Linked DNA regions of Styela clava. The protein of the gene in region 1 binds, or shares a complex with, the protein of each later gene. Links are inferred from orthologs where the notes say so. Each region holds a gene or a part of one and is shown in the gene's direction. Other genes may lie near its edges. The genes, in order: mitochondrial import inner membrane translocase subunit Tim22-like; mitochondrial import inner membrane translocase subunit Tim10-B-like; acylglycerol kinase, mitochondrial-like; mitochondrial import inner membrane translocase subunit Tim9-like.

The links.
Region 2: the proteins of mitochondrial import inner membrane translocase subunit Tim22-like (region 1) and mitochondrial import inner membrane translocase subunit Tim10-B-like are in contact, whole or in part, in a cryo-EM structure (PDB 7CGP), measured with the Homo sapiens proteins. The link is inferred for Styela clava from reciprocal best matches to the Homo sapiens genes TIMM22 and TIMM10. Residues at the interface, in NP_037469.2 of Homo sapiens: Tyr25, Ser26, Leu28, Leu29, Gln30, Tyr31, Leu32, Val33, Arg40, Leu42, Leu47, Gly48, Glu67, Glu144, Ser145, Tyr146, Gly148, Ser150; in NP_036588.1 of Homo sapiens: Pro3, Ala6, Gln7, Leu9, Ala10, Ala11, Leu13, Glu14, Val15, Met17, Met18, Ala19, Tyr22, Ser44, Lys45, Gly46, Glu47, Arg53, His62, Glu63, Gly66, Leu69, Thr70, Ser73, Met74.
Region 3: mitochondrial import inner membrane translocase subunit Tim22-like (region 1) and acylglycerol kinase, mitochondrial-like share a complex: the UniProt entries of both Homo sapiens proteins name them as parts of the TIM22 complex. The link is inferred for Styela clava from reciprocal best matches to the Homo sapiens genes TIMM22 and AGK.
Region 4: the proteins of mitochondrial import inner membrane translocase subunit Tim22-like (region 1) and mitochondrial import inner membrane translocase subunit Tim9-like are in contact, whole or in part, in a cryo-EM structure (PDB 7CGP), measured with the Homo sapiens proteins. The link is inferred for Styela clava from reciprocal best matches to the Homo sapiens genes TIMM22 and TIMM9. Residues at the interface, in NP_037469.2 of Homo sapiens: Asp35, Arg37, Gln38, Pro39, Arg40, Leu42, Gly45, Ser46, Leu47, Gly49, Ile50, Ser52, Pro53, Lys60; in NP_001291414.1 of Homo sapiens: Gln13, Glu16, Phe17, Thr20, Leu57, Thr60, Gln61, Met65, Phe67, His71, Gln74, Asn75, Leu78, Lys81.

Annotation. Positions count from the first base shown.
Region 1 is NC_135252.1:2,511,296-2,519,472, forward strand, and holds mitochondrial import inner membrane translocase subunit Tim22-like, read left to right. Parts: upstream 1-5,209; 5' UTR 5,210-5,211; coding exon 5,212-5,455; intron 5,456-5,704; coding exon 5,705-5,889; intron 5,890-6,499; coding exon 6,500-6,661; 3' UTR 6,662-7,017; downstream 7,018-8,177. Other genes in the region: failed axon connections homolog, read left to right, coding at 3,620-4,621. UniProt on the Homo sapiens protein: Essential core component of the TIM22 complex, a complex that mediates the import and insertion of multi-pass transmembrane proteins into the mitochondrial inner membrane. In the TIM22 complex, it constitutes the voltage-activated and signal-gated channel.
Region 2 is NC_135253.1:5,421,356-5,429,587, reverse strand, and holds mitochondrial import inner membrane translocase subunit Tim10-B-like, read left to right. Parts: upstream 1-5,507; 5' UTR 5,508-5,612; coding exon 5,613-5,683; intron 5,684-5,842; coding exon 5,843-6,038; 3' UTR 6,039-6,640; downstream 6,641-8,232. Other genes in the region: tRNA (guanine(37)-N(1))-methyltransferase-like, read left to right, coding at 36-302, 923-1,067, 1,504-1,665, 1,757-1,880, 2,328-2,469, 2,572-2,670, 2,744-2,829, 2,927-3,120; uncharacterized protein LOC120326221, read right to left, coding at 6,809-6,862, 7,395-7,574, 7,759-7,884, 8,064-8,172.
Region 3 is NC_135253.1:878,398-887,267, reverse strand, and holds acylglycerol kinase, mitochondrial-like, read left to right. Parts: upstream 1-5,187; 5' UTR 5,188-5,736; coding exon 5,737-7,014; 3' UTR 7,015-8,076; downstream 8,077-8,870. UniProt on the Homo sapiens protein: Lipid kinase that can phosphorylate both monoacylglycerol and diacylglycerol to form lysophosphatidic acid (LPA) and phosphatidic acid (PA), respectively. Does not phosphorylate sphingosine. Phosphorylates ceramide.
Region 4 is NC_135254.1:14,339,584-14,346,919, forward strand, and holds mitochondrial import inner membrane translocase subunit Tim9-like, read left to right. Parts: upstream 1-4,686; 5' UTR 4,687-4,736; coding exon 4,737-5,024; 3' UTR 5,025-5,629; downstream 5,630-7,336. Other genes in the region: nondiscriminating glutamyl-tRNA synthetase EARS2, mitochondrial-like, read left to right, coding at 5,771-5,903, 6,361-6,426, 6,536-6,713, 7,036-7,143. UniProt on the Homo sapiens protein: Mitochondrial intermembrane chaperone that participates in the import and insertion of multi-pass transmembrane proteins into the mitochondrial inner membrane.

The DNA of each region.
Region 1 (8,177 bases):
ACTCAAAATCCTTCTGTGCACCGCCCGGAAAATATCTCAGCGGCACCCGATTTTGTTGCGCGTCTCGTGACCACCTGCAGGGTCACAACAAGTTCGCTGTTGTGAGTTTCGCTGGGTGTCATGGAATATTATACTGTTCTTGACAGTTTTCCGGTTCAAACAAGGAAATATCCATAAACTTCCATTTGGATGGTAATATTAATCAAGAAAAGTATGCAGAACGGAAAAAGCACGCATGCTGATTTACAGGTTTCTGAATCTTGCGAGATTTGACGGAGCGCTTTCGCGATGGGATAGGATTTACATATTTATCCCGGGGGAGAGGAAAGCCGATAAGACGGCTTATCCATATGGCGAACCACGGCCACTCGTCCGGTTACCATTCCAAGTCGGGTATGGGATTAGTTATATTGTTTGTTTTCAGAAGCATGGACTTGATGAATCGGAACCGAAAAGTGTGATCACTCGGCGCCGGTGATCACGACGTCGCCGGTCCATACCGCACGTATCAAAGAGCAATACGGCGGCGGAAGAGAAATTGCGTAATAAACTAACGTAACTTCGTATTTTCGGCTTCGGTAAGGCGATTGAGACGGTAGAAAAACAACAAAATGAAAATTCCCGCGATCCGGCACCGGTCTGCGGACCGGGGGTTAGGAACCACTAGACTAAATGACACTCGCGCAGTCAATAAACAGTCAGAATTTATAACAAGTATCAGTCGTCTCAAAAGTGTGTGTGTTATTAATAATAACTTTGATTTTACTATATGATTTAAAACACTTCACTAGCCGCCTAGTTGCTCTTTTTTTTTCTAGTCAAGATACACCACAATTCATAAGTATATATAAATACTGCGATGTTTATTAAGTCTCTTTTCTTAAAAGCAAGAATATCACTAATTTCAATATCACACATGTCATTTCTATTCACGGCCGCTTTACAATGATAATACAATATTTATTAAAATTTAATTCCCATGTCCCTGGAATTAAGAAAAGTAAATAAAATGTGGGGGATTTTAGAATGTATTCGTAATTCCAAATTCGAAAATATTTTTTTAGACTGTATTCGAAAGAGTCAAGTATTCAGTTGTGGCCATCCCTGCTTATATGACAGTCTGGAGTCCTGCCTGTGTGAAACTGCATTTGGGCTCATGTTCCACGGTAGTGCTCACTCCTACAAACCTCAAGTACGGACAGTTTGAATATACTGTGGCGCTGTAGTCGAAGCCACCACGATTTCAAGCCAACTTCCCAGTCTGTGACACTTCCTGCTTGTGTTTCACACAGCTGAAGAATTTCTGTTTGCAACTCGGAAAATTCGTTCAACAAGGCTATTGAATATCCTATATTTTGGTCTTCAAGGAATGTGGACCATTTATTGGGAATAAGGAAATAATCTTTGTATATTATATCCAACAGAACGAGTATAGCAGGCAGATAATATTAATAATAACAAATGCAAATACTGAAGGTATTGCCACCTCAGCATTACCCTCCCCAGCCGGTCGTTCTGGTGCCATTTTACTTGGGTTATTTTTTTGTATATTGAGTGCTCGACATTACGCAAATATATGTTATTATTATATGTTCCACTAATTTCATTTTTTGCTGGTACATTATATACAATTTTACCGGTCCGCCAGGATAGAAAGGTTGGGAACCACCGACCACTGGACTATACAGCATGCCTTTGTTGTTGTGCAATTATCCATTTCGATTTTGATAGCGTTCGAATCTGGCCCATTCACAAGTCACAGTTACAGTGAAAATCCTTGAATATTGAGATGATAATCTATATACTCTTTGAAAATATATGCCACAATGCCGAACTTGCATTCGATAAATTATGCACTTGAAATTTTCATTAGGTATAAGTTGGAGGTGTAAATAGGGTAGTAACTTTCTTTTGTAGTAACTACAAAAATTTCATTCAGCCAATTGGAGAAATGTGTTGCCGAAGCTTTCACAGTATTATGAGTTATACTAAGATATGTCGGCCCAATTCGCATAAAAACGTTCCTTCTCTAAATCTTTAACCCGAGGGGATGATATTGGCACAAGAACTGAAGAAGCTTTATAAAGCTAGGTGAAGGCACAAAATGGCTTAATGAAAGCTCAATGGATGTTACACCAATCATTTAATTTAGGGGTCACAAAACTACATTCACTCTTTCTGTTAGTTTCGTGTGTTATTTGTCAGTTTTTAGTTATGTTTTCAAATATAATTGTAAATCAAATAACTTAGTTGTCATTATGTCTTTAGTTAGGTGCAATAATCAAAAAGGGCTGCCGCAAACTAGCCTAAAATAAGCTGTCGGTGCCGTACCTGTACAGCTGTAAGCAGCACGTGGTTTATTGTTTTGAATAAAAAGATTGTTTTTAATATGTGAGACAGTTTGTAAGCGCCAACTTTCCAAAACAATCTCAAAATTAGCGTTGAAAATGTTGCAATTAAGTATATAATATGGAGAAACTTTCAGGGATCAAGGGTTGAGGAAACATCCATAGTCAACGCAATCCGCATGTTCGTGGTGCCGGTATTATGTTAACATGGTACCGAGAGGGGTTGGGTCGCCAAGCGCAGTTTTGGATCGTCTTGTCGAAATGATATCCTGTTGACAAAACTGCATGGTTACGGCAGTACGGTACTGCTGACAGGCGGGAATTTGAAATAGCCTATTCGCATGAATTTGTCTCTGTCCATTCCATGCCAAAAGTGATTGGCCTGAAGTGAACGGTAGTCTGATAGTGCCACATTTATTCTATGCCTACCGGTAGTCTATATACTGGTACAGGTGCAATCTGTATATACATATATATCTAGTGCTACCGGTATGCCATTGGTGGAGCTAAGAAGAAGGACACAATCTTGACTTACATCTGTATATACATAAGTCTGTAAGTATTGTTCAATGTCATAGGCTACTTCATGTACTTACATCATGTTGTGAACACGGCCCAGTAGGCTACTTTTAGTGGGTGTAGCATAACAATTTTTGCATATGTCAATCCTAACCTCACCTCATCCAAATTGTCTTCCAAAAATTACGTCACTAATGCATCACGGTGACATAACTGCATAATAAGGCCCTTCAAAGTATACAAATGGGTTCCTTTAATTACCGGAACGGCCCCTAAATAAATCGTATAGCCTACAAACTGTCATCCAAGACACGCAGACGATCACCTGAAATCAAGCTATTTTTCTCATTGCAATGATCCATCTCGATATGAAACAGATTGCTGCCATTAGTGAGTTCTTTATCGTCGGCGCAGATGCCATTTCGGGCGGTCGTAGGTTGGAAGGTATACTTTGGCGAGCTCTATGACATGATTCTGTGATTCATCATAGTGACATAATTTTTGGATGGCTCAGTCAAACGGGGGTTAGGGTTGACATGTGCAAAAATTGTTATGCTTCGCCTACTAGAAGTACTTGAGGTAAGAAATACACAAGACCCAAAAATATTAAGTACAGTACCACTAGTACAAAAGTCAAAAACTACTGTATTAGATATAACTCAGTAGTGATGTAATTTTCTTCATCATTTCAGTTATTGATTGAGTTTTTTTGAGGTGAATTGTTTTGTATTACATCAATTAAAAAATAAAATATGCCGGCCACAACTACTGCTGCTTCTTCTGACGATGGCGTAGTTTTCTGTCATACTGGGCCAAGTCGTGTTGCACCATCACTTTCAAGCTTTGTTTTGAAACTGGAAACCTATTTGAGGATGACCGAAATCCCTTATAAAGAAGAAGTTTCTTTAAAAAAATCTCCAAAGGGAAAAATACCATTTGTTAAGATTGATGGAAAAGATCTTGGTGATACCAATTTCATTATTCCATATTTGAATAAAAAGTATGAAAAAGACCTAGATGCTTCTCTGAATCTGCAGGAAAAATCAATATCTTTAGCTTTCAAAAGATTGATTGAGGAAAACCTGTACTGGACAATGGTGCATTATCGTTGGGTGGAAAATTATTCATCATTTTCAAAAATAATTCCTGTCACAGGCTTTTACAAAAAGATTATGCCAATTGCGGGAGCCATGATCCTCAAACCAAATGTTAAGTCTAATCTGAATGGTCATGGAATGGGACGCCACTCTGTAAAAGAGATTCATGAAATTTCTGCCAATGATTTGAAAGCGTTGTCTGATTACCTTGGTGATAAACAATTTTTCATGGGTGAAAATCCTACTGAAATTGATGCAAGTTTGTTTGGATTGTTGGCTCAGTTCCGCTTCACAATGCCCGAAAGCGAACAGGAAAAGTTGATGAAGGATGATCTTAAGAACCTTGGTGAATACACTGATCGGATGCGTGACAGATACTTTTCAGACTGGGAGGAAAAATTGCTACAAGAAAAAAAAAAAGTGGAAGAGGTTCCTGAAACAAAAAAGGCCGAGAGTGAAGGAGAGAAAAATGGTTCTGGTGATAAAGTGGAAGAAAAAGAGGAAAAGAATGGTTCGGGTGATAAAGTGGAAGAAAATGAGGACAAGAAGGAGGAGGCTCCAAAAAATGGGAGCAAGGTTGAGGAGGTAGCAGGTGCTCAAGATGGAAAACAAGTGGATGAAGAAAAACCTACTGAAGAAAAAAAAGATGAAGCCTAATTTGTTAATTGAATAATATCATAAAATTAGAGGTTCTTACGTACTAATAACATTCCATCTGCCTTGTTGTTTTGTGATGAATATATTTTTGTTTTGCTTCAATTCCTTCATTCAAGTTTACTTTTGCAGTATGTTTCTATTGAGTTTGCTAAAATATTTCATTAATAGTATATTTATAATTATTCAAACTGAAATCATTGCAGCAAGATTTTTTTTTCGAAAAATATCTGATATGGCTCATTAGATGTATATTACCTGATTCATAAATCTTATTTTTCTATGCTTATTTTGCTTGCCTACAATTTTATTTACTGTGTTGTAATATCAATTGTGCTTCTGCTCTTTGATAGTTCTTTTGTTTTTGTAATTTCTATGTTTTTGTAATTCATATTGCCATTCCATTATCTCATGAGAAAATTCAATTCCTGCTTTCCTCTGGTACAAGTATACTTTTGCAATGTCATATCAATCATGTTTAAGTAATTGTTTCATCTTGTATAACACCATGTTATCCTTTGTATTACGTAGATGGTTGGCCTCGTTATATAAATGTTTAAATAGTCCTGACATTGCTCAACTTTGTATTCGGCATGCTACCAACAGATGATCCCAAAGGAAAAGACCAGCCTTTATTATTACAAAGACCCCATATTTCATATACTGCAATCTTGGAGCACATGACAAATGTTTACAAAAGACCAAGAACAGAGCCATTCCCTTTCCTGGACAGAGAGTCAAACTTCAGCCTTTTACCTAAAATTACTACAACCGATAAAGTTGTATCCGCTACCATGGAGAGCTGCGTATTCAAAAGTGTTTTAACCTGTGGAGGAGGTAAAATTATTCATTATGTCATGCAATACCCTGGATCATACCATAGTTGTTTCAACAGGTCATCTAGTTCATAATATCCATGTCTGATTGAAAATTATGCTTTAAACTTGAGTCATTCATATCTCTTTTCAACAAATTTCGAACTGTATGGCCCCATAGAAATTTGATTGTTAAAAAGTTTTTTTTGTCGTTTTCTAGCTGTACCATTCTCATACTGCTGTCATTAATGCATGCAAATCTTTTTTTCAGGTTATGGCCTTGGAGCAGTGCTTGGTTTATTCATGTATGGAGTGGAATCGCCTGTCACTGATCCATCTAAAATTCCCACTGTGCGAGAAACGATACGTGAAATGAGGACTAGGATGCATTCATCTGGAAAAACATTTGCTTTTGTTGGAGCAATGTTTTCTGCAACTGAATGTGCTTTGGAAACGGTATAGTGATTGATTTGTCATGAAAAATAGATGTTAGGTCTGCTTTATTTTTGTATTACGATATGATCTTGTTGTTGAGTCACAACTCAATAATATTGAGAACTCCTAGTCAAGTCAAATTGCCCTTGCATATGCGGTTACATCCGATATTGAATTTGAATTTGAATGTTAGGAACATTCTCTGCAAGTTTGGGAGATATAATTTTTGTATTTATCTCCATATGGAGGAAGGCTGATATGATGACTTAATCAGTAGTGGGATTCAGCCGGTTCGCACCGTTTCTATAGAACCGTCTCACAGAATTTTATGAGATCACAAACCGGTTAGCATTACTGGTTATTGTCAATGTTCTGTTTTTAACTGAACCGACTGAAAAATATGACTTTTGTGATGAAACTGGCTGACAAATAATTTGAATCCCACCACTGGACTTAATCGAGTGGTGAGTCAAGATCTACTGGTTACCAGTCTGGTATGGGAATGGTTACCAGTTGTTTGTTTCAGATGCATGGACTGGATTATGGTATATTCAATGACAATCGAATGTTGCTCTTACATGAAAACCACTTGGAATTTAGTGGGAATTTAAAGATTCATGTTTTATTTCAGTATCGCGGAAAATCTGACCCAAAAAATACACCTGCTGCTGGGTTTATCACCGGTGGTCTTCTTGGCTTACGAGGTGGAATTCAAGCAGGATTATTTGGTGGACTTGGATTTGCGGCATTTTCATTCCTTATAGATTATTACCTTTTGCATCGTCATTCATGACACTGTTACAATGATATATGTAAATCTGTCTCAAAAAGAGGTATGTTGCTGCATGAAAACTGAGATTGAGTGGTCATGTGCTGCTGGCAGAATGGTTTCTGAAAACCACAATGGAAAGAATTTTGAGTTTGGATGGCTGGTTCTCCTCCGTTGATTAACTGAATAATAGTTTCTTCTATGACGAATTGTCTCTGTTACTTATTAACTTATTAATCCTTAACCTCAACGCACTGGCAAAAACTGACTGAATGGGAGTTGCAGAATGGATCTTATGAAAGATAACTGTATGCTTCATTCTCAATGCCCACTTTATATTTATGAAGACCTGGTAGCAATATAGTAAAGCCATATGTTCAGTATCATCCAATTTTTTTCGAGATATGTACCGATAGATGAAAGTACAGTATACATACACATTAGTCAAGTTCAACAGTTCAATTTCGAGGCTTATTCACAACGACGTCGAGGGGCTGATTCAGATATTTATTTCGTCGTGCTTGAAATATTGTACACACAAAATTAAACAAACATAATAATAAAAATATAAACTAAACATACAATATTGACGCGGGGCCGCGAAAGACTATGAAGTAAGTCATCGTGTCAGCGACACCTTGTTTGCCGAGTTGAAAAGCAGATGAAATCAAACAAACTTATTGAATAAAAATTGTATCATCATGACTTGCTGAATAAATCCAATCCAGTGATTTCCCTACACCCCCCCTATAGGGGGTGAACACCCCCCCTAAAATTTCAAACACCCCCCCTAATTTTGAGGTGAGATTCCACACTGTAATTCCAAATCAAGTATAATTGTATTCAAATATAACGCCTATGGCATATTCATCAGACAGATGAAATCAAACAAACTTATTAAATAAAAATTGTATCATCATGACTTGCAGAATAAATCCAATCCAGTGATTTCCCTACACCCCCCCTAAAATTTCAAACACCCCCCCCTAATTTTGAGGTGAGATTCCACACTGTAATTCCAAATCAAGTATAATTGTATTCAAATATAACGCCTATGGCATATTCATCAGTGTAGATGAGGGGTTCCAAACCGCAGTCTGCGGGCCAATTACGGCTCGCGTGACGATTTAAAATGGCCCGCCGAACTTGAGTGAAATAAATAGTTTAACCCTTCATTTGGTACCTTTTGAGTTTTAGATACAGTCTATTGTTACATCATTATCACAGTTTAAGGATGTTTATTTCGTAACAATTGAATTATATCGGTATCTTATGTATACGTATGGGTATTAGGATTACACACTGCAGTATTTTAGATATCAGCCGTATATTAGGGAAGCTTAATAATGTCACAAAACGAAAACTAGGCACCGAAAACAGACGTTTTTTAGATGAATGACAGCGTTTTCATTTTTTTATTGAAAAGAATCAAATTTCAGCGATTTGTCTTCTTACCAACAAAATATTTCAGTTCTGAAGGAATACAACATTATGCGCCATTATGATCAGTTGACGCGCGTATTTCAAAATTTAATTCATT
Region 2 (8,232 bases), on another chromosome or scaffold:
TCCTTACATTTTTAATGAATTTTCCGCCATAACAGGTCCGCATTTAAAAAGGAAGTAGATGTCAACACGATACTAGTACCTTTTTCTTCACTCAATAAGTTCCAGAAGAAATTTAAAGAAGACATTCTTAAGAGGAGAGGAGCAAATTTATTGTCTGCAGAAAATTGTGAAGCTCAAAAAAATGCTAAATTTGTTGTAATGAAACAAGACTTCAATTTCAAATCTCTTCCAGAATTCAAACAACAACTTTTAAACGATTTACAAATTGAATCAAGATTTTACACTAACAAGTTGGAAATAAGGTTATTATATCTTTGAGCAATGATATTTTGTTATAACTTCTTATCTAATAAACAATAAGTTTACTCAAGCGTTATACTGTGCTAGACCATCTAGACCATTGATTTATTTTGGCGTGTGGTATTTAATTTTGTTATCAATTGCTATAAATAATATTAAGTTATTTGATCTTATTTAAAATCATATTCAAAAGTCTTAAATCTCTGTGTAAACGGATCTCATTTATTAAATCAAGAACCTTCTTTGTATTTCGAATATCACACAATTTCAATATTAATGATTCCTGACATTTTCTGAATTCAAATAAATATAGATACTGTATTAAGTAAGGTAGGATTTTCTTTTTTATCCTGATTTAGAGAGAAGCTAATAAGATGGCTTAATGATATAGTCAACCACGGCTGCATAGTGAACCCCAGTTGCCAGTGCATGCTGTGTATGAAAATAGTTAACTTGTCTCAGATGCAAAGACTTAAATTGTACCAAAATAGAAAGAACCTCACAAAACAAAGCCATATGGAATGACTTTTATTGTGCAATGAACTTAAAATTGACTGTATGCATATCATTGAAACATATGCCTTGTTTACCTGTTGGTAAATATATTTTCAATATATTACAGGTATGATGTATACAAGCACCAAGAAATTATTGGTGCAGTATTACCTGAAGGACTAGATTCAACATCGGGTTTTGAACGAGTCGGTCATATCATTCATGTCAATTTATTAGAACATCAAATGCCATACAAGAAATTAATTGGTCAGGTTAGTTATATCTTGGATTGAAGTTTGTTATTAGTTTGATATATCGAGCAACGGTTACTATTTTGACAATCTCATGCAAATGTTAACCAGCTTAATTTTCTGAAATGGTTTGATGAAGATTATTAATTGACTGCTTTTACCATATTTAAACTCATATTTTTCTCTCCATTCAAAGCTCATAAATGTTGATTATGGTTCTTTCTGGAATTTTTCAAAATGGTTTTTAAATCACTTTGTAACATTATGCCTCCGACAATATTCAAGTTTAACATGAATATATGTGCAACTACAGATGTTGCATCTGCCCTAGATCAATTGAGTGAATTATTGTGAGTTGTGACTGTACTTTGATAAATTATTTCAGAAGGGTTTAATAATTAGGAATAATTCTCATTCTAACTCGCAAATGTGATTGTTATCAAAACCTTATTTTCAGGTACTTCTTGACAAACACAAAGCAATCACAACTGTCGTGAATAAATCTTCAACTATTGACAATACATACAGAAATTTCCTAATGGAGGTTATTGCCGGTGAAGCAAATTTTGTTACCAAAATAATTGAATATGGCAATATTTTCGAATTCGATTTTTCAAAGGTTTGTTGTTAGTAATGATGCAGAATTTATTAGTACTGTAGTTTTCTATTCACATACGAGTATCTAAACTCTGGAGCCCTTTTTCATTCAGGTTTTCTGGAATTCAAAGTTGCAAACTGAGCATCAGAGAATAGTGGAGTTGATTCCAAAGGAATCTGTTGTCTTTGATGTATTTGCAGGAGTTGGACCTTTCTCCATACCACTTGCCAAAAAAGGTATTAAGGTAAACTACCAATCAAAGAACTCGCTGATAGTACTACCCAAAGGGTTTAAATTCGACAATTTTTCGTTATCACTTTTACAAAATATTTTTATGTATTTGCTATTTTGTTGACTTTTGTAAGTTGTATCATGCTGTCGTTTTGGAAATGGCATGAATATAAATTATAATGATCTTGTTTTCCATTATTAAATTTTCGTACTTCAAAAATGGGATATGCAAAATTATTAAAATTCATCCACCACTGTAATACATTTCAGAATAAAGAAAAAGTTTCAAGCTACGACCCTATATGCTGAGAGTGAACATGTTCCTCAAATAACATTTCAAGTTTGTTAGATTCTCTATTTAAATGGTTTTGTAGCAGTTTTCCCCTCCATTTTACTGAAATCAAGTTTTTTTTTTTATGAGTTTATGAAAATGAATTTGATTATGGCAACAGGTTGTGAAGTATATGCAAATGACTTAAATGAAGAATCATACAAATGGCTTTTACACAATTCAAAACTAAATAAAGCGAAATTGAATGCATTCAATATGGATGGCAGAAAGTTTATCAAAGAATGCTTGGGAAAACATTTGCAGTAAGTATTAGGTATCTTACCACTAGTATTCAATACCCCAGGGATGGTGACTGAAAATGAATTAACCCATCTATCTTATCAATTGCATTTTAACTTTTATAGATTGTCATCAAAAACAGAGACAATATGTGTTATAATGAATCTACCGGCACTGGCAATAGAATTTTTAGATGCATTCACAGGATTGGTCAAGAATATTAAGTATGCAACATTGATAAGGAACGGTTTAGCAATCGGAATGTTTAATTTAATTCAATAATATTTTATCATTTAGTCGAGCTGAAGACAACAAGACATCAAGTTCATTACCTCCAGTGACTGTTTATTGTTATGCTTTTTCATCTGCTCAAGATTTAAAAGGTATGATTCCTATATAATTAAGGCTTTTTGTCAAATTTAAGACTTTCTGACACAATCTTTTGCACTACTACTATTCTTAAATATGTATTTATTTTAGGTGATATTAAAGAGAGAGCAGAACAAAGCCTCAGTGAAAATCTTCCTGAACATAGTATTCGGGAAGTCAGAAAAGTTGCACCAGGAAAATACATGCTTTGTTTATCTTTTGAAATTCCTTTTTCTCTTTTATATGAACAATCAAAAAATGGTGATACTGATGAATCGGAATGTAAAAGAATAAAACTATCATAGTTCGTATTTTTGTATGTTGAATTTGGAAAAGGCAATCATGCACACATTTTATATCGATAAATACACTGAGCTGCTCATATTTTCATATTTAAATTTGAGGGAAGGCAATCCTGATAAAATGCAGTATTTTATATCCATGTGTTTTCTACTGCCTTATAACCACACTGGACTGCAGCTATATGGATTGCAGAGGCCTTGTGTGTGTACACTGTCTGTAAACTAGCGTGTCTTACATCTATGCAGTTTGAAAAGGATAATAACATACATGTTTGATGACGATTTCAGATGAACTTTAGGCTTGATGAGTAACAGTGGTTGGCGGTGAAGTCGTGGATGTCTCTGATGCGAATGGTTTTCACAGTCCAGTGAGATTTTTTTCCGGGAAAGCCAGGGACAATAATTTAGTTTCAACTCTGACATGTGACAAATGGTAGAAATTAAATTCTGAATATGATCAAATTTAGATTAACAGAGAATGAGTTTTGAAATTAATATCGTATCTTGTTAAGTTAATGCAGTTACTTGAATCTGTCTTCTGACCAGTGACTGGAGGCGAATGTTTTGAACAAAAATCGGTTTGGAACCAGGATGTTCAGATGCCCAATTTTGAATCGAGTATAAATTTTGTGTGCTTGGTTTGTTGGTAGTTGAGATCGTACGCTATCCACCAATTTCCTAACTTAATTCTAAATTATGTCCTCCATCTAGGTTACTCTGCAATTTAGTTATCTGTTTTCGCCTACAATATTGTCTTTTATCGCTTTAGAGGACCCGAATTAGGCGACAAATTTTAACAAAAATAACACGTCGTTAGACGAGAAACTTCAAATGTACAGGTTAGCAATGCAATTTGTATATGTCGCGGAATTGTTTCGAATATTTTCGAGTCTAGTCATCAAAAAGTTTAAATCTGTAAAACAAAAATCAGGCTTTCCTGAGACGTGGGTGCACCAGCCCAGAGATGCCATGTGCTATTTATAATAATTTATTGGTTTACGCTGGCGCACACGACAACGATTGCGCAACAAGTTTTGGTACAAATTCAGTAGATTCAGCCAGATTGTAGATTGAATCGTGGCAATTGTAGGAAGCACTGACTTGAAAATAGTTCAATTTATATTCAAAATAGTATAAATATTCAAGTTTCTCTAAAAAATTTGTTCAAATTGTTTTTGAATTTAATCATTGTTTTTTGGTTTAAATCATTGTTTATCCCAAAATTGATATACCCGTTGCCATCTGGCATCTATGGAATTGTATAGTAATTTTGCGAAATTTATTATTCCATTTCAGTCTCGCAGATTCGCACGTGTGTTGCTTCTATAGTCCATTTCGCAGTTACACTTCTGTTTTCGGTGATTTTCTCCATATTTAGATTTGCTGCAACTATCCTACTCAAGGACCAATTTTCATAGGTCTACTGTGATCGTCCAAATACAAGAGATACTCATGACGCCATAGGTATTCATATGGCAGTATTGCCCAGGTGCCGTCTGGCCTTGGTGAGTTATTAACCCTCAGAATTCGGGTTTAGTACGGTATAGTTTTGTACCACAAGTACTTCCGGTGGGCGTAGCATAACGAATTTTGCATATGCTATTCCTAACCCCCACCTGACTATGTCATCCAAAAATTACGTCACTACGACGTCACCCTCACGTCATAGGGATTGCCAAAGTATAATTACGATCGCCCGAAATGACATCTGCGCCGCCGATAACGAACTTGCTAAAGCCGGCGATCTCTCTCCTATAGTGACCGTTGTGACGGGAAAATGAGAGAAATTGCTTGCTCGATTTCGGGTGATGGTCTGTGCGTTTTGGACGAGCATCCGCATACTTCGGTGGGCCTTATTACGCCACTGTGACGTCGAAATGACGTAATATTTCGGTGACGTAGTCAGGTGGGGGTTAGGATTGACATATGCAAAAATTGTTGAGCCAGGTCAACTAGAAGTACATGTGGTACTGAACTATACCAGACGCCAGAATTCAATCACAGATGGGCTTAGTGCATGAAAGCTGTAATAGAGTTTTTATTTTATCTGTTAACTTATGCAGTATATCGAGGTACAGTTGGTGTTGCCTAGTATATTTTAGAGGCGTTCATGTCTGGGTTTGGGGCTTCATTTCCATCTCTGAAAAAGGAGCATAGGTATTGAGGCTAAGAGCTTTATTCGAATACCGTATGTCACATACTATCATTTATTACCAGAACTTTGTCTTTCAATGTAAATGCAATCTGATTTTCACTTTACTATATCAGTATATGTTAATATATGCGATATGCATATATTATTAGGCCAAGAGACGTTGAAAAAAAACTTCCTATGCCTATATACCGTTAAAATGCTGAATCAAATTATTACTGTTTTCTGCTCAAATTTTACATTGTCACAGGTGTTCCAAACAACAGAACAAACTTTTTTTTCTGCATTCTAGTCTAATTCATTTTTTAAATAGTGTATTTGTGCTCTTCAATATTTACAAACAATGAATGTAGCTCCTGAACAACAATTGGCTGCTGAGCTTGAAGTTGAAATGATGACTGATATGTACAATAGGTAAGATATTTATTATTTAACACCTATACTTCAACACGGTATGCAGCTAATCCTAGTCACGCCTTTTATGCAATCGATGCAATATTTGAATTTATTTGTGTTTTTATAGATGACATTTGGACTAAATTCACTAAAAATATAATGACTTTTTTTAACCAGAATGTCATCGGCATGTCAGAAGAAATGTATCAGTACCAGCTACTACGAAGCAGAACTACAAAAAGGGGAATCTGTTTGCTTGGATCGTTGCATCGCCAAATATTTTGAGATTCATGAAACAATTGGCAAAAAATTAACAGAAGCTTCACAAGTAGAAGATGAAACAATGAAGAAAATGCAACAACAACCTAATTGATAAAAACAGCCTATAATGTGATAAGCTGTGTAACTTTACAAACAGATAATATTCTTGGTGCAAGACACATGCAATTATTCAACAAGGAGTTATATGAGATTGCACATGTTGTTTGATAAAACTGCATAACGGCATTTCTCATATATGTATTTTGGTTTGTGCGTATAAAGACAGTTTAGGAATCTATAGTTCTGGATATCGAAAGCAAGGCTTTTTGGCAGGTTTTCGCCAACAAAGGTAAAGCTTCTATGAAATCAAGTTACACTGTTTAATAAAGCGTAATTAAAAGTAGGATCTTGAATATCATTTTGTTAACCAGCCTATTATTTATTTACAATAAATTTGTTTCTTTGATAATACAGCGCATCAGCGATGTAAGTTATAGAAAATATTTGGATAACCACAGAGTCGCCCATAACTTATTGCACAACATTGCAAGTCTAAGCGGTGATGTAGGAACGGTTGTCATGAAATTAGATTGTGCATTTCCAGTTGGCCAGTGTTCTGTGTGTGTGGTATTTTTGTGCAAATTAGCCATTCTAATATGTTGTTCAAACTTTTTGTATTGTTTTAATATTTATTAAAATTGAACCTAAATGTTATTATGGAGGTATTCATTTGGCACTTATGTTCCACTTTCACACAGTGTAAATAAGTTATATGTCAAAAGGTATATACAAATAACATATGAAAAATAATTGAACATAAATAGGTAATGACAGATCACGGTCAATATAATAATGTATGAATAATGCAAGTTTAGCAATGCTTTAAAACTGGGATTCTCTTTTTTCTCTCTCTTCCCACTTTGTTAATATCATGTCCTGTAAAAAATTAAAAAATAGACAAAGTAAATGTTTGAGCCTTTCACATAAGTTATTGCTCACCTTATTGGGTTTCTTATCCAATAAGTACTTTCACACCGCTGAATTTCCAAATTGGTTATTACAGTTTACTCAATTTTCATGGTTTGTTGGGCGCTCCAGAAGTGTATGTACCGATATGGAGCCAACTAATTTTGTTTGCCCACTTTACATCAAGTTGTATAAAAGGACTGATGAAACCTATGGGCAGGGGGTATATTTACTTGGCTAACACAGACAGTCCCCAAATTCGTAATATTCAACCGGAACGCTTGAGGAAAATCGGAACAAAATTATGGCCTGACCCTAATCCCTGGTTCCTGTACTACGGGAATATTGATTGTTCTGCATACAGTCTATAGAATTCATATTTGCAGAGTGGTTCATATTTTATGACTGCCACTTGTGACTTCACCATACATGTCTATGTATCTGAACCCAGACTAAGATATCATTTCCCCTCTTACAGGATAATATGAAATCCTATTCTAACCTTTCTTGTTGTCAGCTCTGCACTGTTTACTCTCCATCTGTTATATGTTGCATTTACTGATGCTACTTTTGACCCTGGACTTGAAGTTGCTTTCCTTATTCCTGGCTTCACTCCTGCTCTTATACACATTGCCCTGTGCTTTTCGTGTGACCTTTCCTCTCGCAACACTAAAGCCCTGTGCTAAAAATTGTTACAAGACCAGATAAACCTCAACTGCTGTCACGTCTTTTGATAGCCCGGAATCTATATAGACGAGACACAATGAAATCGTATCGAACGCGCCTGCATATACATACATATATAACTAACTTATTTCTGTACGACATGCACTTAACAAGATTTAAAATATGATGAAGAAATTCACCTGTTGCCCAAGTTGTAGTTGCATCGATTTTCCAATATTTTGTAGATCTGTTATAGTTTTCTCCTTGAGCCTTAGTTGCAATGATTTATCTTCTAATTTTTCAGTAAGTATTGCACAATTGGAGCACTAAAACATCAATGGGAAGGTATTTCATAATGGATGAATTGGTTATAAAATAAATTGTGAGATCAAAATCAAATACATTTTTTTTGAAATATATTGTTGATTACCTACTTGATTGGTAATAAGTTGCATTATGGTAAAAATATGATTAGCAAACTGAAATTTACAAAGCAAAATTATACCTTTGGTGGGTGTAACTGTAAGTGTTTCAACTGTTTATGAAGTTCCCTAGCTTCTTGTGATGTTTTTATTAAATCCTTTTTCAATTCTTCAAGTTGTTGTTGTCTTTCACTTTGAAAGCGAAACATAATGGTTTTAGGCATTAACTGTGAATCATTTTTTAACTTGTTG
Region 3 (8,870 bases), on another chromosome or scaffold:
TCCTTTAGTCAACTTTTCAGAATATTTTCTAGACCGTATGTCTTTCGGAGCAAATCGCATGCTTCTTTATAACCTTCATCGGGTGCCAACATTGTACAGTGCATAATCAGTTCTCTCGCATCACTTTCGCAGTATTGTACCAAATATGACAACTTTTTACTTGTATCATGTACTCTTCTATCAATATTTAAGTTGAAGTTAGTGATAAACCGGACATATTCAGTCTCTATTCCACTGAAATGCAATAATTCAGGTCTAGGTCTATCAGTTCCGTCTTGCAACATAGATGCCATATTGCCCAATAAACTTTCCACATTTGGTGACGATTGATCATGCGTGTTTCGTTGTGGGATTTGTGCTTCTGTGTACGGAGGTTGATTTAATGGTTCATACCGATCCGGTATATTCACATTCACCGCTTCTCTCATATTAACAGTAGAAGCAGGTCTTCCAACATTTAATACAGGATTTCCCACTCTGACTCTAGATTGTGATAACAAATCTGATGCGGGCAATTTAGGTCTCACATCTGGAGGCTTCGATACCGGCACTCCTATTTCATTCACTGGTACTTCTTGGTTTTGATTAGGTGAATGTGAACGAGACATATTTTCATATAATGACATACCTTCACCTCCCTGCGAAGCATTTTCCCATACATGGGCTGCTATACAGGCTGATTCATAAGCATGCTGCAATTCCAAACGCTTTGTTCCACTTTGAGCATCCCCTTCGATTTGTCTAGCTCTTATTTCAGCCTTCATTCGGGCTTCCTGCTCTTGCTTTCTAGCATTTTCCATAGCTTCGCGTTCCAGCCTTCTAGCACTTTCTATAGCTTCACGTTCCAGCCTTTTAGCATTTTCTGTAGCTTCACGTTCCAGCCTTTCAGCTTCAATTTGGGCATCTAATTTCATTTTCTTTGCTGCCATTTTCGCATCAATTTCTCGCTTTTTTGCGGCATCTTTTTCTACTTGCTGTCAAATACTAGCATGAGCAAGTTCTCTAATGGCAATGGCTTCTGTACGTTTAGTACTCGAACTTGAACTGGCACACGAACGACGGGAACTTTTTCCAGAAATTATAGAACGTGCTTTAGGGCTATGTGTCGATGATTTAGGGCCATCAACGTCAGACTTTTGAACCAATCGCGTAAGTGCACATTGAATTCTTGAAACTCGCGCAGTTCACACTGGAAAAATTCACTGACATTTCTTCGATCTTCTTCAGAACGTAAAGTACTCACATGAATTTCATGAGCATTTGAATACTCTGTGAACCGTTTGTCAATGTCAGCACTTTTCAATTTCAACAAATCTAGATTTTGGTAGTCTGACATAAGTCTCTCAGCATCTTGATATAATTCCTTCATACGAGCACGTAACTCTTCTAAATTTGATTTCGAAACAGATTCTGCATCTATAATGTACAATTACAGTGCTCTTCAAACATGCAACAAAAGTTTAAATATTCAACAGTACGATGATTTCTTCAATTTTGACGATTTACTGAACTCCTGTCGGCATTCGACGATACTTTATTAATGCAATACCAAACGTTATATGCAAATTTTGATAACTTTATTTGCGGAAATTCGATAACTTTAATGTAACAGCCGTTCTTTGTGACCTGGACGACACCGACTGCACACTAGATATTGGTGACCGTACATTTGAACCCATGTACATTTGAACCCATGCGTATATTCACAGGTTCAATCTATATGCGGGTGCTAAAACCCATGGGTTAGGGTTAGTATGGGTTTAACTATCCGTGAAACAAAAAAAATTCTATAGGTGCAATAGCATACAGGTGCAATTGTCATGGGTTCAAATGTACGTGGGTTCAAATGTAATGGAACCTAGATATTTATTAACAGTTCAATAACGCGGTCTTTCAAGCTCCAAGTTCGTATCCTCACTCCAGAAAATCACACAACTCGAAGTATACAGTTGACACGGTTATCTTAATACAAACGTAAAAACAAATCAATACAAAATACTTGTAATAAATAAATAATCGTACACAATTCGGCCTTTAGAAAGCCTACTCAAATTTATGAACACATTTAACAAACATTTTGTTGTCTGCTATTCCAGGCTTAAATTATCATAAGTAGATTAAGAAATCATTCGTCCATGAAATCCGAACAAATCAATTAAATAAACTATAACTGTAAAAACAATCACAAAGGCAATCTAATGCTCATAAAATATCCCTAAACTAGGCCTATGTGGGGCAGCCATAATCTACATTATTTAATCGTCCTACTGTCAAAACAGAAAGTCAAGGTCGCTGAACAATTTTAACTTATTTACAAATTACAACGAAACGAGCGCCATTCTCCTATAAAAGTAAAGCGCTATCTAAAACAAATTACCGAAACTATCCCTGTCTAAGCGAGACATGTCTGGGCAAGCAATTGCCACGAAGACTCTCACAATTGTTTCGTAACAAAGTGTGTAGAAGCACACTGTCAATCAAGGGAAATTACGGCGTCAACAATAACAAATAAATTACTACACAAGTTAAACGGACGCAATGTTTAAGTCAAAACAAAAATAAAGTGAATGCGATTCTCGATGTAACAGCCTGTAGATGCGTGTTTTGTGTACTATTAAGTATATATATTTTGGACATAGTTTAATATGAAATATATTCTAGATTCAAAAATATTTTTCAGAGTGATTCAGTTTCGAAGAAGTAAACAATAAATATTTTGCCTTTGGCCGGAATCAGAAATTTTACTTGGTACTATATAAATTTTGGTTTTGTTTCAGTAGGCGAAACTTAGTGATTGAAAAAAATCACGCCATTGTTATGGACCTTTCCCCGACCTTTGACCCTCGAAAAATTCTTCCTATACTTTACCATTGCAAAATTTTCAGGGCTATTTTAAGAGTGCTTTTGCAAGTTGGCGCCTGTAAAATGGGGTATGTGTTTCAAACCATCATTATGATTCATCGCATACAACAAACTGTTTTTTAAAAGTACCGGTAAAGAATTTCAGGCTAGTCTATCACAGCTATTTCTACAATGAAAATTCTACAACAAACTCCTAGGAAGACAGCGTGATCATTGAATTATCTGATTTTTATTTAAGTTTCCGAAACACAACTGAAAACTAACGAATAGAGTTCAAAAACGCGAAAACGAGGTAATGTTTACAACCAGCCTTGAAAATCTGTCTGAGTGAGAAAAGGGGGCATTGTTACGTCACTCTTCGCATCTTGCTGATTGGCCAATGTCACGAAATAAACAAGGAAGTCGATACTCGGGGAAAGGTCCATTGTTTCTTTTTGAACAGCACTCAAAGCCTGTATTTGATGTTTATGGCCTTTTAACAAAGAACTGTCATCATCAAAAATGGAAGTTTCAAAACTCATTTTCAATAGGTATAATCCGAAAGTAAAAAAATGAATTTATTTCAGATTTAATAATAGAAATCCAAAATATTCAACAAGTAAGTCTACAACGAAGAATTTTTAGATACAAATGGCCCCAAAGTGATTTTATGTTACCAATGCAGAAAAATTTTTTAGGGGATTTTTTGAAAAAAGATCTAGAATACTTTGGTTGAACATTGATTTTACCCAACCAGAGGTCAGATCTCAGAGGCAGCGTTGCATGGAGGCAGTTAATTCTACTTGTGAACCACCAAGTTTTACTTTCCAAAAATACCATGATAGAGCTCTAGCGTCACATCATATATTCTAGCAGTTCTCAACCTTTTATGGTTCGTGACCCCTTTCCGGCGCTTTTTTGCACTCGTGGCCATTCGCCATTCCAAAAAACCAAACGTGTTGGATTGTATTAAGTTTTTATTACCTTTTATGGAATGCAAAAGCAAACCACGGACAAGAAAGTATAAGAGCTTTCTAGTATACAATGAGTGGGAATCGCTCGGGACTGTCTGACGACTTACAGATAAGTTGCGAGTCGCAACTTGCGACAAATGAACTAGCAGTGAAGAAGCTTTCTTTCTTAGTAATGGGTAAAAGTAGTGATATGCCACTTCAAAGCTGCATTCAAAAGCGGGCTTATCCTCCGGCAGAAACCCTAACTTGGCCAATGTTGCTTTATTGTCAATCTAACTCGCTTGGCAGCCAAGAATCCGATATCAACGCTTTTACCCGGTGATGATTTTTGTCACGGTGGTTTTGGAGTTTAGATGGACTTAATGATTCATTGCTCTTTACATACGAGCAATGCAAGTATTGAGGACATTCTCGGTCATCTCGACTTACTTTTGTAAAGCCAAAGTAACTGTCGTTCCATTTTCGTATTTTGGGATTTCCGTCTATAATACGATAGCGAAGGTTATCTCGCAGTCTAGTGAAATTACAGGTTAGACGGCTTACCAGCGAACTATATTGGTAGATTTCATATTCCATGGACCTTTCCCCGAGCATCGACTTCCTTGTTTACTTCGTGACATTGGCCAATCAGCAAGATGCAAAATGTGACGTAACAATGCCCCCTTTTCGCATCCGCTCAGACACTTTTCTCACTCAGACAGATTTTCAAGCGTGGTTGTAAACATTACCTCGTTTTCGCGTTTTTGAACTCTATTCGTTAGTTTTCAGTTGTGTTTCGGAAACTTAATAAAAAATCATATAATTCAATGATCACTCTGTCTTCCTAGGAGTTTTAATTTAATTGCAGTAATAAAAATTAGTGTAGAAATAGCTGTGATAGACTAGCCTGAAATTATCTACCGGTACTTTTAAAAAACAGATTGTTGTGTGCGATGAATCATAATGATGGTTTGAAACACATACCCCATTTTACAGGCGCCAACTCGCAAAAGCATTCCTAAAATAGCACTGAAAATTTTGCAATGGTAAAGTATAGGAAGAATTTTCCAGGGATCAAAGGTCGGGGAAAGGTCCATTATGCTCAAACAATTCACGCACAAGAAAGTGAATACATATCAACCTATTCAGGCAATTAAACTGCGGTGAACGCCGCAGAGAATTTTATTATAAAAGGAAAATATGCAAACGAAATCGTTTTAGGGTCAATTATTAGCATTGTGTCGTGACCCCCTTAGGGGGGCACCAGCCTCCGGTTGAGAACCACTGATCTATTATAAACTAAAGTACGGTAGGTAAATAAATATGAATAGGCGTAGCACAGTGAGACTAAATATGGCAACTGAGGTTTCAAAGTAGTTCAAGGATCAACAGCTAAGGGACCTCCTGCGGCAGTCGGCGTCAGGCCATGGTTTACTACTGATTGGTCAGGCATGGAGATGCCGTGTAACGTGTGCTGGAAATTGGGTTTTAGTGTAGTACCGTACTGGTACCTAGAGTACTTCTAGTGGGGGTGGCATGACCATTTTTGCATAGGCTATGGGTTTCTTTAAATTACGGTACGTTACTACAACGTCACAATCACGTCATGTTGCAGGTCGGTTTTGGCTCCAGCCGACCAAGTCCATGCTTCGATGCATGTCTGCATGTGGAACCAGTAACTGGCCAACTAATCCCATACCGGTACCTAACCCACATCGCGACATGGACCGGTACGGTACTGTAACCGGACGTCACACGTCAGGACGTGGGCCATGGTTCGCCATATTTTTGTTCCGGCTTTTTCCCCCTCAACGCGGTAACGTCACACCAGACCTGCAGACCGGGCACTGGTACGGTACCTACTTGCGGTAATTCGAAATTTATCTTACTTGTCAAAATTTATCGCAGTTTGGTCATCAGTTCTGCAAATAACTTACAGATTATGGTTGTAATTAGGTTTGCAAAAGCTGTGAAAAACAATCCAAAAAAGTCTATTGCTGGTGCAATCGTCTTAGCATGGTTCGGAAAATGGGCAGAAAAAAGATACATAGCGCATCTTTTCAGAAGGGCTGAATGTCAAACAGCTGTAAAGCTTGGACAAAAAAGTTTACATGAACTTCAAGACGCAAAGCGTGTCACAGTTCTTTTGAACCCTGCTGCGAATGGTGGAAAAGCAAATGCTTTGTATGAGAAGTATGCAGCCCCAATACTACATCTTGCTGGTTATGATGTGCATCTGGTGAAATTAAACTATGAGGGAGAAGCTAAAAAACTTATGTCTGTTGTCAACAATGACATTGATATGATTATTTGTGCTGGCGGCGATGGAACTCTAAGTGAAATTGTCACAGGTTTAATGCGACGACCAGATTCAAATTGGAAGAAGATTCCTATTGGAATTATTCCTCTCGGCAAGAAAAATACAATGTGTAAGAGATTGATTCAAAATGCGGATCATGATAAACAACCTCATTTTATTTGTAGCGCAGCATCTGCCATAACCAGAAGTATACAAACGCCTGTGGATGTTATGAAAATTGATGGTTCGACTGGGAAAACTGTGTATGCTGTTTCAAGTATCAGTTGGGGCACCTATAGTGATCTTCAGGATAGAATAAAAAAGTTTTGGTTTCTCGGCCCTCTGAAATCATACATACCATTTGTTTTGTCTTTATTGAAGTCTGACCCTACAAAGCCAAGAACATTTTCTATATCATACACAGACCCTGAGGTTGTTCCTATTTCCCTAGAAGAAAATTGTGTGGAAAACAGTTCTGGCCTTTCGGTGTCTTCCCTTCTCTCCAAAATCTTTTACAGGTTCTGGCCTTGGAAATCAAAATCAGAGCCACTCATTGAACAAACTGCTGAGTTAATTGAAGAAAATTGGAATGATTTACCCAAAACAAGCATTGAGTTTTTTGCTCAAGCGAATAAGCATTTGAATTCTGAGGGAAGAGAGAAAGCCTCGATACAAGTACAGCTCGAGTCTAATAATGTGTCGTACACTGATTTTGTTACACATGGCCCATTTATATTCCAAAAGGGTGATCACCCATTTGTTAACACTGACTCTGATTTTGAAGTGGATAAATTAAAGTTATCATCACAATTATCTGATAATTACGAGCAACACATTAGTATTGATAATGATAGATATGAAGCAATGGATTTATCTGTCCAATTAGTTCCCAATTGCATTAACATGATTTGTTCAAAATAAAAAGGTTTCTGCAACGAATTAACTGTCTATCTAATCCATTACCCAACATGGACTGGTAACCGCACAAGAGGCCATGGTTCGCCACATAATTAAGCCATCCTTTCCCCTGATTTTCCACTCCCTTGGATTGATTTATAATGTCATTAATAGTTTAAAATTCCTGGTATTGTAGATTTACAATGAGGATGTTCCCTTTTTTCAAAATACAATACAATGTGCAACCCGATTCTAATAAGTTAATGTCGAACATAGACTAAGGTGGTATTTCAGTCCGCCCTTCATACTGCCTTATGAGGACTTTTTAATTAAATTAGCTTCAAAACAGACTGCCTTAACTCTTTCTGCAAATTTTTGTACTGCTCTTTCCTATTGTTTCGCGTAAATGAAATTCTTTCCAAGTCCATATGCTCCAAGTTAAAAACTCATGCTTTGGCATACTCTTTGATTTGGTATTGCCTGTTCCAGAACAATTTAACATAAAATGAATAGTACGGTTTTGAATCGAACATATAGTCTGCTTGAAAAGCGGGATAAAACTTTCAGTTTAAATTGTTCAGAATAAAATTATCCAATATTCCAAATACAGTCTCAATTACTGTTCACAAATACATTTTAAATTTGGCCATGTTTGATGAATATATATTTTTGTGAGAATTCCACTCATAAACCACCAAGTTTTACTTTTCAAACATACCATAATATAAATATCGAAAAATCAAATATTCACCATTTTCAAATTATAAATTCGTTCGAACATCCCAGTTCTCAACTGTTCTTCGTATAGGTAAATCGTTTGATTTTCAACAAAAAGTGCAGAGTTAAACAAATTTCCACTGACATTCTAAGAGCTATATTTAAGTAAAGGAGGTGGAAATATCAGTAGATAGTTGTTAATATTATACTTTAAATAATTCAACATTTTTTGTTTAATCGTTTTTTATTCTTCTCGAATGTTCAATTTTGTTACTACAATGAAACGCATAAGATCATATACCAGTATGGGGTATAAGAGATGTTTTGCTGTTAGTTTTTCATGTTCAGATTAAACGATCAAAACACTGATTTCTGTTTTTCGATCAGTATACGCTTCACTACAGGTAGATTTTATTTCGGTACACCGATGAACGCTCAGGTAGTTATAAGATTTCCAGTGAGTGAGTATGTCAATCGTTACAAGTTCCTGAAAAGTGACATCGACAGCATTCTTATTTGTTGCTGGTTCAGAAGGGTCATTTCAAAGCGCGATATCATAAATAAAATTCAATCTTGGCCCATCGGCCGTCTCCACTTGCACGTGATTAATACCTTAGTCGTGGATATCGTTCTTCCAGTCGAGATCGTTCCTCATCAAAGTAGTACTCATCAACTGATGCACAACATCCAACCTCAAATTTTGATAATACTGTATGTAGCAGTGTTTGAACTTTTGCAGTATTTGGCATGATAACATCCTTAAATGTAACATAAACTTTCCCGAAATATCATTTAATGATTCCGTAATGAAATATTTTGGCTTCTTCGAAATATACTGGTTGTTCTCCTATTTACTGGAGAGTTTTCCGAAAAGCCTATTTCAAGTATAATAATCATCATGATTGCTTTGGAATTAATCAAAATTAGAAGTAGGCTATATCTAGTTCAGAAGGGTCACTTCAAAGCGCTATATCATGAATAAAATTCAACCTTGGCCCATCGGCTCCGTCTCCACTTTGCACGGGATCCATACCTTATTCGTGGATATCGTTCATCATCAAAGTATGTATGTATGTATGTTTATTCGTCTCGTAAAAGCAATATAAAAGAGTAAGTACTTATAAATACTGAAGACGGGATGTATGCACAAGACCATATTGGCC
Region 4 (7,336 bases), on another chromosome or scaffold:
AACAAAAATACCTACGGTAATAATAAACTAAGCATATAATTTATGCGTTCATGTATATCCAATCCATCTATATTTCAGTGGGGCACAATTCTCTGATTCTAAGATGTCGCAAAATTTGGTTACCTATTTGTGTCTGAAACGAGAGCGTCTGGCACAACGGCAGATGCGTCAGATCGCACTAAGCTTGTCTCAGTAATAATTTAAATCAATACCAATATGAGTCTGCCGTCAAGTGACCAAAACGCTACAGTAAAATTTTTTTCCTCCTGTAAATTAGATTATGGAATCCTATGGTGACGTTTTTAGACTGCGCTTTTTTTTAGTTTATTGCGCAGTGCCAGATTGCAGTTTTGCAAGTGCAGTTTCAAGTATTTTGAGGCGTCTAGAGCTGCCGCAAAACCATGGCGGGATTTCCAAACCATGGCCGCTATGACCAAACCTACGGCCCTGACTTTTTAGCTGCCACAAACCAATAGCGGGCTGCCGTTGTTACGGCAGCAAATCGAATACCACCAATTTTGCTGCCGTTACCACGGCATGTCGGCTGTAAAAGCAGGGCTGCCCCTTATGGAGATAAATATTGGGTAAGTTGGAACGCTTTTCTTATGAATACAGTTTTGATGTATTTGGGGTTAGGTTTAAGTAAATATAATTCTGCATGATAAACTAAAATATTGTACATGACTTTGTAAATATACCGGTAATCGTGCGATAAAACCATGGCAAGAGACGCCGCGGTACGTTCGTGGCAGGAGCTGTCATGAAGTGCTGAAGTGGTAAGAACTGCGCCTCCCAGCCTCCCGTTTTGAGTCCATATGAAGGCCGACTCCAGGGGTCGGCAACCTTTTGTCGCCCGCGGGCCAAAATTAAGGGTTGCAGCTGCAAGTCATTGGCGCACCGGACATATTTCTATAAAGTTGAAAACCGAACGAATGATACTTTTTATAGTAAAAATCAAGCAGTGATACATCTCTCGAATAGAATATAGATTTTATTTCCTCTTTGCATTGCATCTCAAAAAGTTCCATTTGAATATTTTCAGCGCCATGGAACCCTTTGCGCTTAGCATCAACATTTCTGCGTTTTGTTGCCATTTGTCTAATTACAATTAAATTATAGTTAAACGAGTAATTGTGAATTTTATACTCGTTAGATTATAATATAATTTAGTCTACACGTGTCTCACAATGAATTCTGTTACTCAAAGAATAATCGTCAAAACAGCTGTTTTGTTACTATAATTCAGTGACCAGTCGCGGATTATACTACTCCGTAGGTTGCCGACCCCTGGCCTACACCAGTACACTGTCTCGTAAAGGAGGGAGGGGTTTGCACTCACTGTTATTATTGATGTCTTTTAATGTGGGGGCGTGGGGGCTATTCTTGGAATCAGAGAACTGTATTTGATAGTGTTGAAATTATCACAACAGCATACAGTCAATCAATTATTAATTAAGTAGTATAATATGTAATTTAAAAAAAAACGTATTAATAGATTAATATTATGTGTATAATTCTTCATAATTTTTCTGTCTGGCATTATTTAGTTCCCTTCCAGCTGAATACTGGAATATTTCTTTCAATAAAATCAAAAACTAATCAAAATATTCACGATTCATATATAACTTGCGTGACTGACAAATTTAGATTCTATTTCACACACGGCAATACGCATAGTTCATTTCCAGCAATACTACTTACGGTTTCATTTTACTGTTGAAAATCCCTCTCAATTTTCACTGGAAACATACTGACATACGACAATACAATCTCTTACCATGCTGATTTGCCAAACAGTCGTTGAGTTACACAGTGACATGCAAGCTCATCGATGGAAATAAGACTGGCAAAATTAGGAATACGCTAAATATGAAAATCTTTTCCTTACTCGCCGCGCTGACTTGCTTCATCGCGGGTCCGCTGTGTAGCACAGCTCATTAGGAACAGCGGGTTGCGTTTACAAACAGCAAGGACGCATGGAATGGCGCATTATCAACGAGGTCGCATTAGGCTGACACACTATTAAGTTCATCCATAACAACAATTCATTCATCCATATTACTATTATTGGTAATGGATAGGATTTACACATTTATCCCGGGGAAGAGGAAAGCCGATAATTTATAAAAAATCGTTCCATATAGAATTATTAGATTGAATAGGCTTACGGCTATTGTATAAGATCGGTTTCATTCCATCTTCTGATAAGGAGCTTCACGACTTACCCGTAGCCTTTGCCCGTAGCAAAGCTCTAAACAAGTTTTGTCGCTTGATTGTGACATCGCCCAAACTTGATGAGACGTAGAATTACACTGCTGATATATTTTGCCGAGTACTTTTTTGATTTAAGGAACAGCGCATTGGGAACAATTCTGACAATTCATTCCCCCATTTTAATACACTGTTTTCGTGGTATATATATATGACTTGATTTTTATTTGAGTAATCTGTACCAGGCTCTGAACGAGCAGTCGCTGGTATGCAGACAACTATTGTGCCTCCTGTGAAGAAAAAAAATCTTTCATTTAGCTTAGGACTTATAAAATTGAATACAGCTGTCGGACAAGAATATTATCATCTTCTAATCGCGTGTTCAATAACTTCTCTTCGAACAAGGCTCTATCACAAACAAGGAGGTACTATGTTATAAGAAGAATCCAATTTTTTCAATTTATATATTTCATCGGTGTCAGCCTTGGTGACCTTACCGGTCTTGTATACTGGCCCTCACAAATAATGATAACCAATTATTACTGAATTATTATTTTTTTGTTTCTGTTGCTTCAAATGTTTCAAGTGTTGACATTATTTGGGAAATAAAATCTCTATCCATATGAACATATTTGTCATGTGAGAAGAATAGTATCACACTTTTTATGAAATTCTTTTGAAGAACAAGAAGTTTTTTCTTTTTTGTGGTTTTATTTATTTGATGAACAAAAGGACCGCGCCATTGAGCAAGAATATTACCCCATCTTCCTTTTAATTTATTGTAATTAATTGATTGTAACGGTGTGATAACTATGACAATGACTAAAATAGTGGATACGGCAACATTAACTGAGGACAATATAGTGTGTCATAATATCTTGAAAATCTAGTCCGAGCAACATAGGCAAAGACATACTTACATTTTTGTGAAATGACAGTATTCATATATATATATGATGATCATATCCGTATATACTATTGTTTAATTTAATTATCGCCATAACCAGTGGCGTAACAAGACTCTCGTTCCCCAATATGCCATTACGTGAATATTTAAAAACGTTGCGCATGGGAATTGTCATATCTTGTTACATTACAAATTCTTATTTAATCTTAATTCTTATTTAAGTAAAATGTATAGTAATAGCATTTGTAGCATCCGCTGACAGTTGAATATCAATTCCATATATTCTTCTTCATGCTACCTCATGTCCGTTTCGTGACTCCTTGTTGGTATTTCTTCAGTGCTGGTTCATTGCTATCAAAACAAACGAATACGGATTACAGAGTTCGAGGATACAAAACTTCATATAGGATGTAAAACATACAAAGTTAACAAATATGGAAATCCGATCCTAAGATAACTATTCTGAGTTATTCGAAAGTCTTGTTACACACTGAAACAAATAACTCAATTTTTTTTTGTTAATTCGAAAATCTCTGCGGCAAGTCTGATGATCTTTCACGGCACACTAGTGTATAGAACCGTAAATATATACTACTAGATAGAACCACTGATTATCACGATAACCCGCTTTTGTTTTTAGATGTTAGATGCGCAGCACTTGGAGATATTAGCTAGCTAGCGTCTTGCTGATGTCTGATATCGACCTTGGCGTGCAGCCATGTGGGGGCACTATAGATCAGAGCGCGGCGAATTTCATCTTGTGGAGAAGCATGATGTAGCTTAGCGTTGCAGTGTGCGTAGTAGTAGGATGTTGGTATGGTCCTTGTTTTGTATGTGACGCTATTTTAATTTGCATCCACTTTATTTTAAATACGGTACATAGTTTTTTGTTTTCTCTATTTAAATCCCATTTCCCGCAATATATATATCAATAGTAGAGTAAAAATCCAAATAAATATGAAATTCATACCATTACCATGATGTCAGTAATTTACGGTAATATAAACCATATATGTCCAAAAATGAGTTAATCCACGTATTTAAAATAAAATTATTCGATTCCAAAATAATGATACGAAAATTCCGTTTGGCATTAGAACTTATTTGGCAAAAAAAAAATAATAATTTGCATCTACAAAAACCGCATGCTGCAGACAAGGTACAGATATACATGGTAAATTTATGTAATATAAGTTACCCGTCATATACATGCACCAGGCCAGGGGTATTTTATGTAATTAGGCCTATTGCCCAAATTACCATACGTTACGTTGATTTGGCTGTTTGTGTCGACACACCATCAACTTCATTGTCAATTTTTGTATTTGTAACTCACGTTTTTTACATGAAACGCCTCAGGAGGCTTTTACTGCTGCTCATTGAGTTTCTTTTTACTATTTATAAATATATAATTTGTGTTACTTTTGGTGAACGAGCATGTGCATTGCGTATTATAAACTTTGTTCTCTAGTTTTCCGAGCATATTTGTTTTGTTTGTTACAGCCATTGCCCCACTATACAGCTATACGGCTTATCCGCCTAACCCCTATTTTTATTTTCTTACTCAGATTTATGTATTGGTGCAACTGTAGTGCAGTGCATTAGAGTAAACGAAACAATGGCTGGGGTTCAGGGCATGTCTCAACTGGTTGGACCAGATCAAATGAAACAACTTAAGGAATTTTTAAACACATACAACAAAATAACTGAACAATGTTTTGCGGACTGTGTCAATGATTTTGGCAGTAGGAATGTTTTGTCAAAAGAAAGCACATGTATTTCAAACTGTTTGCAGAAGTATTTGAAAACAACTTCACGTATTGGACAAAGATTTGAGGAACATTTTATAGAGCAAAATGAAGCACTCGCTGCACAAGCAGGGTTTCTAAAGAAGCCTGGCACATGATTATAGCATATATATTGCTGTTTAAATTTCAAATGTGTTAATACATTAATATGAGGTTTTAAATATAGGAAAATGACTAGCGATCGGAATAGGAAATTGTATGTGATTGGATTGAATAAAAATATAATTTTTATGAAATAATTTAAAACATTTTGGGACTAAAGTTTTCTGTTTTATATTGGTATATTTTGAGAGTATATTTCTTGAATTATACATTCATCATCAACACTATTGTTGACACTATTGTGTTCCTCTATTGATATCATGGTTGATTAGTTAAATTGTATTTCAAACAAATCTTTCAAAGTGTCAATGCTATCTGGAGAGAAACTTTTGTGACTTCACTGTGCTCTTCTCAATTGATCAGCTAAGCTGAGTAGCAGTCGTGCTAACAAATGTGGGAATTGCAAATTAAGTATCTATTGTTCTAATTGCTACAATCCATATGAAGTTCCACATCCATGAAATGTATTATGACATTTGTGTTAGATTAGAATGCATAAGGGAGAAAATTTATATACAAAATGTTGCATTCTTGTTGACGTTGATTTTGTGTGTGTCATATTTTGGAGTAACATGTTATATAAATAGGATTTAAACATAGTTACCTACAAAACATTAATTACTTATTTTAGGATTTTGACTTTCTTTCAACCCATTATACTGTGTTAGAAATTATCCAGCTGATTCACAATGCCTTCATCGTTCTGATTGGTTTTCAATTTTTTCAGAATGTTTTATTTGTCATGTTTTACAAATCTTGGCTTCTAAATATCTGTAATCATAGATTTACATGCAAAACTTATCAACGATGTCGTAGATTTTCTATTTCATCTCACCTCTGGAATGTCCGTGTTAGATTTGCACCCTCACCAACAGGTTTCTTTATTTTTAATTGATTTAATATGAACATTACAGTAGATGAATGATGTTTTAGTGATGTTGTGGGTGACTGGAGAGGCAAAAGCTATCGAAAAAATATATGATTATGGTGGCATATTATCTATTAATAAATAACCAACCAAGTCGAGACTTAGCCTGGCGGTGGGCGCCTCGTAGCATGCATTAGGATTATGATTGCCGTTGCAACTTTGAGCCCTGTGCAGGTTTGCAATTTCGATCCCTATGTGGTATAATTATGTGAGAGAGGATTGCTTGACTCCGTAGGGTGGTTCACATGACCGCTGGTCAATTCAATGCATCTGAAACAAAAAATAGTTGCCATTAAGCCATCGGCTTTCCTCTTCTCGAGATTAATATGAAAATCCTATCCCACTCAATATTGTATATATAAATTGTATATCAATATTGTATTATATAAATAATTATTATTCAGGTTTTCTGCATATCGGTGGACTGAGAACTGCTTTACTCAATTACTTATTTGTGAAATCCCAAAAAGGTGAATATTTCTTAGCAATATCTTAATGATTCACCATGTTGTAAATACTAAATAGTAATACTATTTATCACTGAACTAATTGTAAATCATATCTTTAACATTTTTCTAGGTGGTGGTCAGTTTATCATCAGGATTGAAGATACTGATCAATCAAGAATTGTGCCTGGTGTCGTAGAAAATTTATTAAATCAATTAAAATGGGCTGGAATAACACCAGATGAAGGACCAGGAATTGGGGGAGACTTCGGACCTTATGTACAAAGTGAAAGATTGGATATATATGAAAAGTATGTTATGCTAAGCTGAACATTTACTTTAATTGGCGACTACTGTGCTTCAAACAAATTATAATATTTTGATTCATAACAATGCACAATTTCCAGACCGGTTTACCAGTCTTTCAAAAGTTTTGTTGAAAATGATTTGGTTTTCCATCTTCAAATGCATTCATTGCCCATGACATGTTTATGAGGAATTTCATGAATATGAAATTTTCCCTATATCGGTCTTCATCTATAGTCAAGTTATATAGAAAATATCTTAGTAAATAATTACTATGTAACAGTTTTCATAATTGAAATTTTCTAATCTTTTCTTTCCAACATTCAGGTACGCAAATCAACTTTTAGACAATGGAATTGCGTATAAATGTTTTTGCAGTGAAAGAAGATTGGAGATATTGAGAAGGGATCAAATGCAGAGAAAAGAACGTAGTCGGTAGTTGTATATTTATTTTAACATTAAATGTAATGGTATATAGCAGGGGTGGCCAACCTGCTTTTGACTGCGATCGACTATAATCTTCAAAATAGCTGGCGATCGACTGATCGGTAATTAGGTCATAAACAATAAGGAATGAATACTGGATACACAGATAACTGCACACACGCATACAAAAATTTCACCACTG